2 linked regions of the Arabidopsis thaliana genome follow. The protein of the gene in region 2 interacts with the protein of the main gene of each other region in a pairwise test. Each region holds a gene or a part of one and is shown on either strand. Other genes may lie near its edges.

What was found. Proteins that work in one complex are often made in the same cells at the same time.
Region 1: the proteins of AT2G30160 (region 2) and EML1 interact in a protein complementation assay, tested with the Arabidopsis thaliana proteins (one large-scale study listed by BioGRID).

Annotation. Positions count from the first base shown.
Region 1 is NC_003074.8:3,866,658-3,875,089, reverse strand, and holds EML1 (Emsy N Terminus (ENT)/ plant Tudor-like domains-containing protein), read left to right. Parts: upstream 1-3,357; 5' UTR 3,358-3,656; intron 3,657-4,074; 5' UTR 4,075-4,125; coding exon 4,126-4,212; intron 4,213-4,304; coding exon 4,305-4,414; intron 4,415-4,502; coding exon 4,503-4,620; intron 4,621-4,736; coding exon 4,737-4,910; intron 4,911-5,041; coding exon 5,042-5,110; intron 5,111-5,231; coding exon 5,232-5,477; intron 5,478-5,548; coding exon 5,549-5,617; intron 5,618-5,690; coding exon 5,691-5,969; 3' UTR 5,970-6,096; coding exon of another isoform or gene 6,097-6,143; 3' UTR 6,144-6,268; downstream 6,269-8,432. Other genes in the region: FLR1 (Leucine-rich repeat (LRR) family protein), read left to right, coding at 1-326. UniProt on the Arabidopsis thaliana protein: Probably involved in the regulation of chromatin states. Contributes to RPP7-mediated and basal immunity, especially against Hyaloperonospora arabidopsidis isolate Hiks1. Regulates negatively EDM2-dependent floral transition.
Region 2 is NC_003071.7:12,873,886-12,881,254, forward strand, and holds AT2G30160 (Mitochondrial substrate carrier family protein), read left to right. Parts: upstream 1-3,913; 5' UTR 3,914-4,130; coding exon 4,131-4,919; intron 4,920-5,285; coding exon 5,286-5,492; 3' UTR 5,493-5,776; downstream 5,777-7,369. Other genes in the region: AT2G30150 (UDP-Glycosyltransferase superfamily protein), read left to right, coding at 773-1,265, 1,360-2,237; PBCP (Protein phosphatase 2C family protein), read right to left, coding at 5,917-5,969, 6,063-6,111, 6,189-6,271, 6,342-6,465, 6,543-6,640, 6,724-6,803, 6,893-7,045, 7,136-7,215 and 1 more.

The DNA.
Region 1 (8,432 bases), on a different chromosome or scaffold from region 2:
TGTCGGGAAATGGTTTCGAAGGAGATGCCTTTATGTTCTTCGGACGGAACAAAACAACAGTACGAGTGGATTTGTCGAGAAACATGTTTAATTTCGATCTCGTCAAGGTTAAGTTCGCTAGAAGCATAGTTTCGTTGGATCTGAGCCAGAACCATATCTACGGGAAGATACCACCAGCACTGACTAAACTACACCTCGAGCATTTCAACGTGAGCGACAACCATCTCTGCGGAAAAATCCCAAGTGGCGGTCTACTTCAGACCTTTGAACCATCTGCCTTCGCTCACAACATCTGTCTTTGTGGAACTCCCCTTAAGGCTTGTTAATTTGGTTTAATCTTGGCGGAAGAATAAAAATAATGTTGAATATGTTATGATGATGTGTTCATTATCACCGCCAAACCAAGTTTATTGTTTCTTTGTTATGAATTTAATTTAATGGCAAGAATTGGTTACGTAAGAATGTTGTGAGGTATATTCACAAGTCTAATCTTTATAACACTAGATAAGTCCGCCTAAATAGATGGGTGTAAAATGTAACTGTAATTTTTTATCGATAATATTTAAATTTTGAATAGTAAAATAATAATCTATACATTGTTCTTGATATATAATTTTGAATAGTAAAATAGTAGTCTTATGCATTTTATTTTATAATACCCATTCAATCTTATTGATGATATTTGAAGTCTAAATAGTAACTTACACACTTTTTCTTTATTATAATTTAGTATTTAGAAGAAAAGAACAAATTTTTATCTTACATATTCAATTTTGTAATACAATTTAACTATCTATTTCATAAAAAACTCGATTTTAATTATATACACTTCATCTTACTTGATAATGATTTCATGTCAAAATAATATATATGAGATCAAATCTATATCTTAGTTAATATTAAAAATTATTAACAATTAACAAAACATAATTAATAATAATAAAAATTTTGTTAATACCATACATATTAAAAATTTGACCAATAACATATATAAATATTTTTGGTTAATTTTCCTTTTGGTTAAGAAAAATAAAATGTAATATTTTTTAGATATATATATATGAATTAGTATATGTTAATAATGATTTATTTTTTTGTTTTCTATTTCTTTAAGAAGAAAAAATTTAATTGATTTTTTTTTTAGTATTTCTATTTCTTTAAGAAGAAAAAAATTAATTATGTTCTTACACGTGTCAACATCTGATCGATAGACTTGACACATGGCATAATCCTATGAGTTAGTAATTTTCAAAACCATACTTTACATAACAAAATATATGCGATTCCATTACTCGATTTTTTTAAGTCACTTCTAGCTATTTTATATTTGAGCAACCGATAAACTAAGAACAGAACAAAGACAGAAGTGTTAGAATTGAGTGGTGCAGTGACGAACGTATGGTTAAATTATTGAATATCGTATCAAATAGTTAAAACAACTAAATAAAAATATATATATGCACCATGCTTTATGAGTTATGAGATGAATTGAATTTATGTTATAAAAAGGTTATTGTACGTTAGAACTTTTAGGAGTAGTGTAGAACCCAAACTGTACAAAATCAGTAACATTACACAGCTGTGTTCCATTGAAGTCTCTGTTATATAGATCACAAGTTGTTTAACTGCTCAAAGTAACCACACCCATGATCACAATGAATCTCCTTCTTCATCTCTCTATCTTCTTCTCCATCATCTTTATCTCTCCCATCTTCCTACAGTTGCAACCCAAATGACAATAATGCCCTCCTTCAAATCAAGAAGTCCCTTAACAACCCTCCCTACCTCTCCTCCTGGAACCCCCGAACCGGCTGTTGTACTGGCTGGATCGGAGTGGAATGCACTGACGGCCGCGTCACCTACCTCTACCTTTCCGCCAGTACAATCTCCGGAAATATCCCACCCGCGATCACCATGCTCAAGAGTCTCAACCTCCTCTTTATAAAACACACCAATTTCTCCGGTCCGATTCCTGATAACATCAGCGACCTCAAGAACCTCACGTTCTTGGACCTTTCCTTTAACCAATTTCCCGGTCCAATTCCCGGTTCGCTATCTCAGATGCCCAAGCTTGAAGCCATTGAGATCCACGACAATAAGCTAACCGGTTCTATACCAAACTCTTTCGGTTCTTTTGTTGGCAACGTCCCTGAACTCGACTTGTCTAACAATCAGCTCTCAGGTAACCATCATTTTTAACATTCTTTATTATTAATAAAGTTATAAATCCCGGGTTTTATGACACTCCATTTCAGGGAAAATACCGGAGTCATTGTCAAAACACGACTTCAACGCTGTGTTTCTGTCGGGAAACAGTTTAACCGGAGATGGTTCCATGTTTTTCGGACGGAACAAAACAACAAGACAACTGGATCTGTCGAGAAACATGTTTCAGTTCGATATCTCCAAGATTGAGTTCGCTAGGAGCATACTTACGTTGGATCTGAGCCAAAACCGAATCTTTGGTAAGATTCCTCGGGTGTTGACTACCCTACGAAGTCTCGAGCGTTTCAACGTGAGCTACAATAGTCTCTGCGGGAAAATCCCAAGTGGCGGTCGCCTTCAGACCTTTGAACCATATGCCTACTCTCACAACCTCTGTCTTTGTGGGACTCTGCTTAAGGCTTGTTGAATTGGTCTAATGTTGGCGAATTAAAAAATAATTAACGTTTTAACCATATGATGTTTGTGTTAATAATCATTACCGCCTGCCAAGTCAGAGGTTCCTTATTAAGAGAATTTAATATCAAGAAAAGGGTAAGAATGATGTTGAGATATTCAAAGTGTATCTCTATAATCTCAGTGTGCATGGTTCTACGTAAGTCTCGTTCTCGTATTGCAGGTTAGGATTAGTATATCATCATATGTCTCAATTCAACTAACTTAACCCCTTGTCTCGCAAGGGGGCATCTAGTGATCACATATATACAAGTGTTTCGTTATGTAGTAGCTAGCTAGTGATCAACAACGTACACTGATAAAAGTTTATTAGTTTCTTAGTTGTTATATCTAGCAATAGATTTGACAAAGTAAGGATTAAAAATCGATACTAAAATTTTTAATTTAATAATTTTTGTTTTACAAAATTGATTAGTTGGTGAAATATATCACAAGCATAATTTTAATCATTGAAATATATCACAAACATGATTTAGACTTTACAAAGTTTCAGAGAAACCATCCATACACAACAAACCATATATAATCAGGAACGATATACAAAACAATATGACTTTGTGTGACCAAAAAAAAAAAAAGTCAAAAGATATTAGGCTATATGGGCCGAAGTTGCTATTATTGGTGGGCCTTAGAGATCTTAATACCAAAACGAATCGTTTCGTCTTTAAAACGACTGTTCGGCGATTCCGACGCCATCCCATCTGAGTCCCGGAGAAATCGATCGTAGCTCTCTGTGCCCTTCGCTTAAAAAAATATCGCTTCTCTCGAGAGGGGAAGGAAAGTTCATTTCTTTTTGTCCAATTCTTTCAACTTCTCGTTCCAATCCCCTCAATTCTCCGTTTCACCGAACGCACTTCGAACCCTTAATTGCTTTTTGCGGGTCAAGTTTCGATTCGAGCGTTTTAGGGTTTCGTATCTGAATCGGTCGACAAGATAAACCCTTTTGTGGGGGTTTCCTCTAGATTTCGAAAACAGAGGTATGTTAAACGTTTCTGCCCCTTTTGAATCTCGTTCGAGCAATTATTGAGTTAGGCGTTCGATGATGAACCTTGTGATAGCTAATCTGCGAATTGAGCTTGAGTTAGGCCGTTCTGGTTCTTACCTAATTCAACACCCTTACTGTTAGTTTTAGGCACGGAAGTCTTAAATAGGGTTTAGGGAATGGTTAACCGAGGTTAGGATTTAGGGTTTCGAAAAAAGTGTTCAGCTTCCGTGGTTTCGTGAATTAGGGGGAATTGTCTTGTCTTGTTTATGCTTCTGCAGCCTTTATTTTATGTTTCCTTTGGATTTTGTTCAATTCTAAAGTTCTTCAGTAGTTGGCTGATAAATTTGTTATCATCAGCTTTCTAATTACTGATAGCAACTGTTTTCCACATGACTGTAAATCTCTAAAAGGGATAGCTTTCGTTTGGATGGAAATTCTCTGAAACTAAACTACATAGTGATATGGAGACACAAATTCATCAACTTGAGCAGGAAGCATATACCGCTGTTTTAAGGGCTTTTAAAGCGCAGTCTGATGCGATTTCTTGGGTACTCTCTTCCTCCTTTGCATTGATTGTGTTCTGTCAGTCTCACGACTTAATCTCTGGAATATATTTTGTTGTACCATTTCCGCAATTTAGGAAAAAGAAAGCTTGATAACCGAATTGCGTAAAGAATTGAGAGTATCTGATGATGAACATCGAGAGCTTCTCAGTAGGGTCAATAAGGATGATACTATCCAGAGGATAAGGTTAGATTGTTTATTTGCACCAGCATAAACAAAATTTATCATGAATCTCGTTTATTTTAATATATGTTGTATCATGGAACTGTACCAGAGATTGGAGACAGGGAGGCGCAAGCCAAATTACTAGACATGCAACTATTCAGCCTTTTGATGTTCTTCCTAGTCCCACTTTCTCAGCTGCCCGAAAGAAACAGAAAACATTTCCATCTGTAAGTCTTATATTCTAGCCGTATTTGCACCAATGATGGTTCTTTAATACTTTCTTCTGGTTAGCCACATTGTGTTGTTTTATGTTATTTCTTAACCAATTATCTGTGAGATGCAGTATAATCCATCAATTGGTGCGACTGGAAATAGGTCATTCAATAATCGTCTGGTATCCAGTGGCATATCAGGAAATGAATCTGCTGAAGCTCTGATCGGAAGAAAAGTGTGGACAAAATGGCCTGAAGATAACCACTTCTATGAAGCAATTATAACCCAGTACAATGCAGATGAGGTACTATTTTTGTTCATTGAGTGTAGATTGCTAATTGGGTAGATAGATGGTTTGTTGTCCCTGCCAATTTTTATAGAAGTCTCTGATTATCTATTGGATTTGCAATTTACGCACTTGTTTTATTCTCACAGGGTCGGCATGCTTTGGTGTATGATATACACGCAGCTAATGAAACGTGGGAATGGGTTGATCTCAAGGAGGTAATCGTTACATGAACATTATCTTAATATTCTTTGCCTGTGGTTGCATATGTTTTCGTAAGCGATCTGGTGTCTGTACATACTGATGATCTTGATAAGAGCTGACATTATTATTGTTTAGATACCACCGGAAGACATAAGATGGGATGGGGAGGAGAGTGGGGTAGCTTTAAACATTGGACATGGAAGTGCATCCTTCCGTGGCAACAGAAGAGGCCAAATCCATGGTGGTAGAGGGAGAGGACCAAGAATTCATCAACCAAGAAGGGAACTTGTACCGCCACCAACACAACAGAATGGTAGTGGTGGGCGGAGAACTTCCTCTGATGATATTGAGTTGTTCAACACAGACTCGCTTGTGAAGGAGGTACGTGTTTTTTTATCTGCTGTATACCCATTAAGCTCAATGCCTGCTCTAACATGAAATTTTTGTTTTAGGTGGAGAGAGTTTTCGATTCTACGCATCCTGATCCACTCGAGCTCGACAAGGCCAAGAAAATGCTCAAGGTTTGAGATTAATACCTTTTGTATGTGGTATAATGTTGTGATCAGAGAACAATAACACTAGTTTGTGATGCAGGAACATGAACAGGCACTCATTGCTGCCATTGCAAGGCTTGCTGATACTTCGGATGGCGAAATGGGTAATAATAACAAAAGCACGCTACGTTTAGTTTGCAACCTCAGAATAATATATTATTTACCATTGAATTTTTGTGTTATGATGATAATATCAAGCATAATTACAAACTTAATCCTAGGAAAAATAATAAGAGAGTTAATACACACTTGCTCAGCTTGTGATTTCAGCGTAACTTGTAAACAGTTGAATAGCTTGAAATATAGGTCTTCTTCTTAACGCACACTTGCCCACTTCAGTGTAACTTCGTAAACAGCTGAATAGTTGCCCAGCTTCTTGAACCTCGATTGCATACTTCTTCCTCATGTTGAATCTATAATTGATTTATCTGCTTGTAACTCATCAGATGGAGATCCACCATATTCGCATGATCATCCAATGCCACAGGGATGAGAGAAAAGCTGTATGTTACTCAGGATTCTGTGGTCATGAAACCCAAAGGACTCTGGATTTAAGAAGAAACAATGTGCTCGGCTGACAAAGAGGTTGCTCAGAAGATGGAATAGTGAGTTTCTTCTAAATTGGTGTCAGGAAAATGTATGAAAATTAAATTTGTTAGGGAATGGAAAGTAGGATTTTGGTTGTAAGCACAAGTATTTGTTTTAGAGAGTGTAACCTGTGACTATGATTGACCATGTAAATGTTGCTGAGTTTACCTCCAAGAGATAACTAGACCTGCCATGACAATGCATACTGTAAGGTTAACGTGTATGTAGCCTTGTTGAGATGCATGCTCAAAGTATCCTTGACCATAACATGCATATTACATTGCACAATAAAATCTGAATTTGCATAACAAAAACACTGCGTTTAGCAAAAGAAGCACCTGGTTTCTCGTAGAAATAAGTTCCACAAATCCTTCAATGCGGTCATAGCAGGCTTAAGGTGATCATCAACATGCTAACGAGGAGCTAATCAGATGATGCATTCATAGCAGAAGACATAAGAGAAGGTAGAGAAAACACTAACCCCCTTGCAATTTGCAGCGGATTTCATTCATCTTCGATCTAGCATGTTTGATTTATTCAATCGAATTCTTCTAAATCAGCTCGTTGCGATTTCTTTGTAATCCCTACGAGATAACGGATTTGAAGGTATTAAGGTCCCAAACTACTTGACAAGAGCCGGAAACAAATTCGACACCAGAGACCGATGATGAAATAAAGCTATAGAGAGCAGGAAATATGTAAAAAATCAAACACAGAAAGCGATGAATCAAACAAAATCCTAGCTCAAGAAGGAATTTTATAAATACCTGGAGACGAAGAACCCTCCTTAGAGAGATTGACTGGGATCGGGTTTCCAGTCATCATGTAAGCTGAGAAATCGCAGAATCGGGAGGAATAACGGAGAAGAGAGAAGAAGAAGAAGATGATCGGAGATTATGCGATTGTTAGAAGTCGAGAGAGAAAGGGGAAAGAAGAAGCTGTCAATAATAGAGAATTGTAGAAGCAACGTAGATATTCTTTGACCCGTTTACCTTCTTCCTCTTTCTTTTTTTGCCACGCATATCTTCTTTTTTTCCCAATTTTTACTCTATTTTTTTAGAATAATGGAATTTGTTCTAATAAAATTAAATTCATTAGGTATTATTTTTTATTTGATAATATTAAAAGGATTTTTTTTATAAAAAAAAGGAAACTAGGTAGATGACAATGAAAATATTCACCATTTTTTTCCCAACTAATCCGTGTTCTTTTAGATTTGGCCTAATCCCTCTAAGTAGTTATATTTTGCCTATTCCCTTTCTATCGTCTATTCCTAAAGAACAAACATGTAATGCATTCGTTTGTTCTCCCAAAGCCTAAGCAAAGCTTCTTTGGTATTCCTCTCTTAAGAAAAAAAATACAATGGTGCAATATGATTTCAAGAATATAAGTGTCGTCCCAATCGGAAACGAGTTTGTCGATCTCAGTCTTTCCCGCGTTCATCGTCAGACTCCAAATATCCGATCCTTAAACTGATCCCTCAAACTGATCTTAATAATGATCATAATGCTTCAGACTTGTTGGTTGATTCAGACGTTTTGTTTAGGCTTGAGGAATTGGCACATGAAGAAGGAATCAAGAAGGCTCATCATGAGAAACAAGAAGATGATTTTGTGATGGCCAAGGTACATATTAGGGAGGATCACAAGGACCAACTTGTTGCATTTCGCAAGAATATTCAACCCTTGCTGATTTTAATAGCCTTAGCATTTTTGGCTCTTGTAGCTGTAGGGAATACTTATCAAGTCATTCAAGAGTGTCTTTAAGCTTTTGAGTCTCTTTGGCTTATTGAGTTTTATTTTTGTTTCTTCCACATTTTTTCTTTCAATATTTAACATTTTTTCTGTTTACAACTGTGATTGGTAAAACAGAAACCAATCAAATGCTTCCACAAATCCCGAATAGTTATAGCTGACATTTTTATTGATTGCAAGTTTCATAGTCATTATCCCAAGATTTCAGTAACTTCGAACTGAAATTTTGTGCCATTAAAAGAAGTTGTGGGCCGTTAATGGGCCGGTAAAAGTTCCATTTTGTTAATGTTACAAAGAGATCAAATAAGGAAAACATGACGTCATCCATTTGACATTTTAGCTTATCGTAAACAGGCGCACCGCTTACTTCACGGCCCACGTTAAGCTAAATCTTTCCGGTTTATTGTCCTTTACAGAGAAATTTCGGTTTACATCTTATT
Region 2 (7,369 bases):
CATTTTGCTTGCTTATAATCTAAAATGATGCTTTCTCATTAATCAAACCCCAAGACGTCACAAAATACCCAAAACACATCAAAAATACAAGGAAAAGAAAAAGAGAACAAAATTGAAGCAAAACTTAAAACGGGATTTATTATGAGGCCTATCTCTACAATTCACGAAATGATCATACATCTTATTTTTTTGGTAGGTGAGAATAGACAATTGTCTCTCGCAATTTATTAAACTGCAACTAAAAAGAATATTACAACCGAACATGACCTGAGAACTCTGCCTCTAACATAATCGAGTGGACTACATTAGGAGAAGAGTCCAATGAATGAAATTAAACCTAACAGCACTGAAGAAAACACATTGTTATCAAAAAATTTACAACTATGTAGATTTTTTTTGTCAACTAGATTGTTATTCTGTTAGTTATAAACAGAATGATAACAATCTCCCTAATTTGTCTTAATTAAAAAAAAAAAAAAAATTAGCCATGTGTTGTTTTCTTAAACAGTCTGTTTCTTGGGATTAGGTTTTGTTTCTTTAAAAAGCACACCGGTCACTTGAGTGTCTAAAAACGTTATAAAAAACAACAAATGTGATAATCAGCAAAAACAGCTTGAAAGAGAAGTAGACACAATCATTAACATTATGGGTAATGGCCTAAACAATTGGACCACGTTTGTTGTAAAAGCTATCCTCTGCACTCTGCAGCTTTCTCAGTCCTCACTTCTCTCACCCACAAAGTCACAGTAACCAGAAACACGTTCCACATCCTATGAATCCAATCAAACCTCAGCCACTCGGAGTCCGCCACGTGGTGGCCATGCCTTGGCCAGGAAGAGGCCACATCAACCCAATGTTAAACCTCTGCAAAAGCCTCGTCCGGCGAGACCCAAACCTCACCGTCACATTCGTCGTCACCGAAGAATGGCTCGGGTTCATCGGGTCCGACCCGAAACCTAACCGGATCCATTTCGCCACTCTCCCCAACATCATTCCCTCCGAGCTCGTCCGAGCCAACGACTTCATCGCCTTCATCGACGCCGTCCTCACCAGATTAGAAGAGCCGTTCGAACAGCTACTTGACCGTCTAAACTCTCCTCCCACCGCAATCATCGCCGATACTTACATCATTTGGGCAGTACGTGTAGGCACAAAAAGGAATATTCCGGTGGCTTCTTTCTGGACTACGTCAGCCACGATTCTCTCCCTCTTCATTAACTCCGATCTTCTCGCAAGTCACGGCCATTTTCCGATCGAACCATCAGGTAGTTACAAAGTTCCCATTTTTACTGATCAAAACCGTAAAGTTCAATACTTTCATCCATAATTAGTGATTTCTGAATCCGGGTTTGTTTCCAGAATCAAAACTAGACGAGATTGTTGATTACATCCCCGGTTTATCTCCGACAAGACTCAGTGACTTACAGATCTTACACGGCTATAGTCATCAAGTCTTCAATATATTCAAAAAGTCTTTCGGTGAGCTTTATAAAGCTAAGTATCTTCTCTTCCCTTCTGCTTATGAGCTCGAACCAAAAGCCATTGACTTTTTCACTTCCAAGTTTGATTTCCCGGTTTACTCCACTGGTCCGTTAATACCCTTGGAAGAACTATCCGTTGGAAATGAGAATAGAGAACTTGATTACTTTAAGTGGCTTGATGAGCAACCTGAAAGCTCTGTTCTTTACATATCTCAAGGGAGTTTTCTTTCAGTCTCCGAAGCTCAGATGGAGGAGATTGTTGTAGGAGTTAGAGAGGCTGGAGTTAAGTTCTTTTGGGTGGCTCGTGGGGGTGAGTTAAAGCTTAAGGAGGCTCTTGAAGGTAGCTTGGGTGTTGTGGTGAGCTGGTGTGATCAGCTACGTGTTTTGTGTCATGCGGCTATAGGCGGGTTTTGGACGCATTGCGGGTATAACTCGACATTGGAAGGGATATGTTCGGGAGTACCGTTGCTTACATTTCCTGTTTTTTGGGATCAGTTTCTGAATGCTAAGATGATTGTTGAGGAGTGGAGAGTTGGAATGGGGATCGAGAGGAAGAAGCAGATGGAGTTGTTGATAGTGAGTGATGAGATCAAGGAATTGGTAAAAAGGTTTATGGATGGAGAGAGTGAAGAAGGGAAAGAGATGAGAAGAAGGACTTGTGATCTCAGTGAGATATGTCGTGGAGCGGTTGCGAAAGGTGGTTCTTCTGATGCTAACATCGATGCTTTCATTAAAGATATTACTAAGATCGTGTGAGTTCTATTGTTGTTAATGATTCAAGTCTATATTAGTATTTGTATAAGTTTGTTAAAGATTCAAACTTTGTAGAGATTTAAGATTGTTTGTAAAACTGTTATTTATAAGTTCATTTGTTAGACTCTTTGGTAGAGCTTAATCTCGTGTGTGCCTAATTTTTGTTTGACTTTGGAAATGAATTGTGAGGAGACAAATATAGAAAATAATTTATGAAATGAATTGATTTTGGTAAAGCTTACTGGCTGATTGGTTACACTATAGCTGTAGATTATTTGCTGTAGAATATTGGATGTAAGTGTAAGCTGTAGCTGTAGATTTGTAAAGATTTTATTCAGTTTGTTAGAGAAAATACTCCAATTCTGCATAAAATTCTAAAATCTGATCTTAATAGGAATGATTTTCACACATCTCATGTTTTATCTACCAATATTTTAACATATTTTGCAGTAAATTTAATATTTTACTTGATATCTAATGCTTTAGGACAATTTTTTTTTTACTTTATTTTTGATTTGAGTTCTTCGTTTTTAAGAATTATCGGTTTATAAATAACTAGATTCTGACCCGCACGTATACGTGCGGGGTTTCATATTTTTAAAAATGTATTGGAATATATTTTTAGTGAAAGATATTATAGTGTATAAATTATAATATGCATAAAAAGTGTAAAGTGTTATTTATGATAAAATAGCTATTTTTTGTAATTTATATTATTTATATTTTATTTGTATTTTGCATAGTAAATAGATTGTTAGATTTGTTTCGATTTGTAGAATAATATAGAGATATTTAGAAAATTTGTGTATTTTTGTTAGTTTGATGTATATATAAATTGATTGTTTTTGTTTGAAATTTGATCAATTAGATGATATAATGTAAAATTTTCTCCGTGGTACACCTTTGGTCGATTTTTTTGTAACTAAAAATTCAAATTTTAAGATATAGTTATTTTGTAAATATTGTTTATTTTGTTTAATGTTTAAGAATATATAATTATGTTATAATTATTAATTCTAAAATTTCACTCGTAGATTATCGTCCTTTATTAATATCAACTCAAACTCATCCCACCATATAATTTCATTCCGTAAAATGAAAAATTATTTTGTTATTTTAAATATTGTTATTGTAATATAATAAAAAAATCGAGGGATTGACATGTGGTACATCTTGGATTAATATATTTAAAAATAATTTGTATATTTAAAAATCGAGGGATTGGGTAATTATGAATATATTGATTTTAAAGTCGATTTTTTAAAAGAACAAAATCCAAGATATTTATTTTGTTGTAGTGATTGTTAATTTACTAAACTACCCATGCAAAAATTCATTTACTTAATTTTAAACTACCCTTACAATGTTGTAGTTCATACAATACTTCTCAATTAATAATATAGATAACACTTATTAGTTTTCAAGGGATAAATTTTTTTCCACTTGTGTACATTTAAATTCTACCAAAGTTTTAAAAATTTACGATGACAAAAAAATAATATTCGTATTCATAATATAAACATAATCTAATAAGTTTTTTTGGTTAGGTTCATATCGCTTAAATTAAAGTACGATTTAAAAAAAAAAAAAAAGTAAAAAAGTACGTTTTTGTTTTGGTAAAAAACACTAAAGAGGCAAAAACGTAAAAAGGCAAAAAATATATTTTTACTTGGGGAAAAAGATGTTAAAGCCCACAAGACAAGGCAGAGGTTTCTCCCATGCTTTGTCTTTAGTTTAACCGCCGCATCCTCTCTCTCTGGTCGGAGAAATCTCCAGATTTGGTCATTTCTCCAATCTTCTCGGAACCCTAATTTAACCAAACCTCTCCTCCTTCAGATTCATCTTCCTCCTAATCTCCCTAAAAGCTCAAACCTTTCTCTCAATCAATTCTAAACAATGGCAACAGAAGCAACAACCAAATTCCCAGAATCCGATCTCCGTCCAATCCCACAACCACCGGATTTTCATCCAGCAATCATCGTTCCAGCTCAAAACACAACTCTTAAATTCTGGCAACTAATGGTCGCCGGTTCAATCGCTGGCTCAGTCGAACACATGGCTATGTTTCCAGTAGATACAGTCAAAACCCATATGCAAGCTCTTCGTTCATGTCCGATTAAACCAATCGGAATCCGTCAAGCTTTCCGTTCAATTATCAAAACCGATGGACCTTCTGCTTTATATAGAGGTATTTGGGCTATGGGACTTGGTGCTGGACCAGCTCACGCTGTTTATTTCTCATTCTATGAAGTCTCTAAGAAGTTTTTATCCGGTGGAAACCCTAATAACTCTGCTGCACACGCTATTTCCGGTGTTTTCGCTACTATATCTAGTGATGCTGTGTTTACTCCAATGGATATGGTTAAGCAAAGGTTGCAAATTGGGAATGGAACTTATAAAGGAGTTTGGGATTGTATCAAGAGAGTAACGCGTGAGGAAGGGTTTGGTGCTTTTTACGCTTCGTATAGAACTACTGTGTTGATGAATGCTCCGTTTACCGCTGTGCATTTCACTACTTATGAGGCGGTTAAGAGAGGTTTGAGGGAGATGTTGCCTGAGCATGCTGTTGGAGCAGAGGATGAGGAAGGTTGGTTGATTTATGCTACTGCTGGAGCTGCGGCTGGTGGGTTAGCGGCTGCTGTAACTACTCCGCTTGATGTTGTTAAGACGCAGTTGCAATGTCAGGTGATTGAAATATCTCTAAAGCTACTGACTTTTAAGTATCTGATAGCTAATGTGGTTATAGATTGGCCAAGCTACTTTAAGTAGTTGTCTCTTGATCCTATAGATCACTTGAATGAAGAAAGATATCTTCTTTCTTCTCTTTGGATATTTTGTGATTTCACGAGTATGATTTTATAGGTAACATGTAGATTGCATCAAGCATTGTTAGAACTATGGTCATAAAACTTAATATTACTGAATTTACATGTGAAAGTCGCATAGATAATGTTTCTATATTTGTGGTTTAGAATACTTGGTCAATAGCTATTTCATAGGATTTGGGTTGTTTTGTTTGTTCTGAGAAGTTTGTTTGTGGTGATGTTTCAGGGTGTGTGTGGTTGTGACCGTTTCAAGAGCAGTTCAATAAGCGATGTGTTCCGTACAATAGTGAAGAAAGACGGTTATAGAGGACTTGCTAGAGGATGGCTACCAAGAATGCTCTTCCATGCTCCAGCAGCTGCGATTTGCTGGTCCACTTATGAAACAGTCAAATCTTTCTTTCAAGATCTCAATGGTGAAGCAAACGCAGCTTGAAAAGACACAAACATACATGCGTTTGGCATAATTTACTTGCCTGATTCAGGTCATTGATTCTTCATAGAGCTAGCTACTGGTTGGTTAGTATTAACACTAGCTCTTAGAGAAGATCTCTGTTTGTATAATTTATTTGTTTTCTTCACGCAATAATGTTATCAGATTAGAGTTACAACAACCCCAAGGCCTTTTTTCTGGTTTGCATTGATAGAGAAATTTTGTACTTTTATTTGTTTTAATGAGAAAGATACTATAAAGAGATAGATGAGCTTAAAGAGTGTCCATTCACAAGGTCAATGATAAAGATTCGATTCTTATTGTTTGAACTTTGAAATACCATTTATCAATTTCTGTGAAGAACAAGTTTCTTACAAGGACTTGTACAAAAAGAATAAAGAGAAGATCTTATCATGAACAGAGTGATTCATGAGCTAACAACTTTGGCAACGATCACAGTGACATCATCAAGCTTCCCTCCTGCAATTTTCAGAACCAGAGATCTCAACTAAGAAACTACTCTTGTTTAGTATAATATGTCAGGATAATGCATCAACATTGTTGTTTATTTACCTGTAAGCTTCTTTCCTAGTACCTTCTTCCAGAGAGGAACATCAAACCCCTGCACATATACGTTGATTCAGATATACTTTGCGTGAACTGGTAAAATTCATTCTTAGATCAAGTTAAAAATCTTACCTTGGCTCTTGCTTCTAATGCATATGGAGACTCAAACTCTGTATCTCTTGAATGGCTACTCGCCACTTCAGCTAATAACCTTGCTGTAATGGTTATACCAAAAAACATGTAACTTACTAAAAATCAAGAGAGATGGTATATACATATACATACATGACTCTGCAACATCTGTATGCTTGGTCACTATAGAAACGATCTCATGATCAAACACATTATCGAAAAGTCCGTCTGAACCCATCACGATCACGTCTCCCTTCTGTACTTCCACTATGCTAAACTGCTTGAAATGCAAAAAAAATGATACAAAGGTACAATACTAGCACAAATCATGAAGAGTGGTAAGGATTTATTTACCGATGCATCTAGATAAGTTTGAGCAGACCCCTCAGAGCTTAGTTGGTAAGGACAGTCAAAATAGTGCTCTTGTGGAGCAGTGGCAAAAATAATCTGACCTGAAAATGAGAATGAAAGAAGAAGATCTTTGTCAAAGGCTGAACATGAAAACAATCTAGCATCTTAGGTTACAGTGTAGTACCTTCCCGAAGAAGCTTAAGTCCACAGTCACCAACATTGCCTATTTTGAGAATACCCACTTCCTCAAGCATAGCTAGAATACTGCTTTCATCAATAACCGGGACATCAAGCTATCCAAAAAGGGAACAAAAACCAATCTTTGAAGAGAATAACAATCAAATCTCACTCACATTGTGGCAGAACCTCTAGAAGTAGTTGCGGTATGAGCTTTGTCAATGAGAAAACCAGGATCATATCTGACCTCTTGGTCATCAACTAAACGAGAAGCGTTAGCCATAAGTTCTTTAGAGAACAAGGAAGGATCAACATCTTGTTCAGCCCAACTGAGACAGAAAAAAATATAAACTTTATCAACATTAAGATAAACCCACAAAGAAACTCAAAAGTTAGCATAACCAAAAGCTAAAGCTTACCCGGAGACACCATCTGCAACAGCCATGACTCCACCTCTATAACTACTTACAAAGAAAGCATCTTCACCACCTTTCTCTACCTATATAATTTCGACACTAGATGTCGATTTTAATTGCATAAATATTCTCTAAGCAAATCCAAATTCATTACATCCAAAGAAGAAAAACAGAGACTTTGGTCTGGTGTTACCTTATCTGGATGAGGGATTGCGTGAATTCCGACAGATAAAGAGA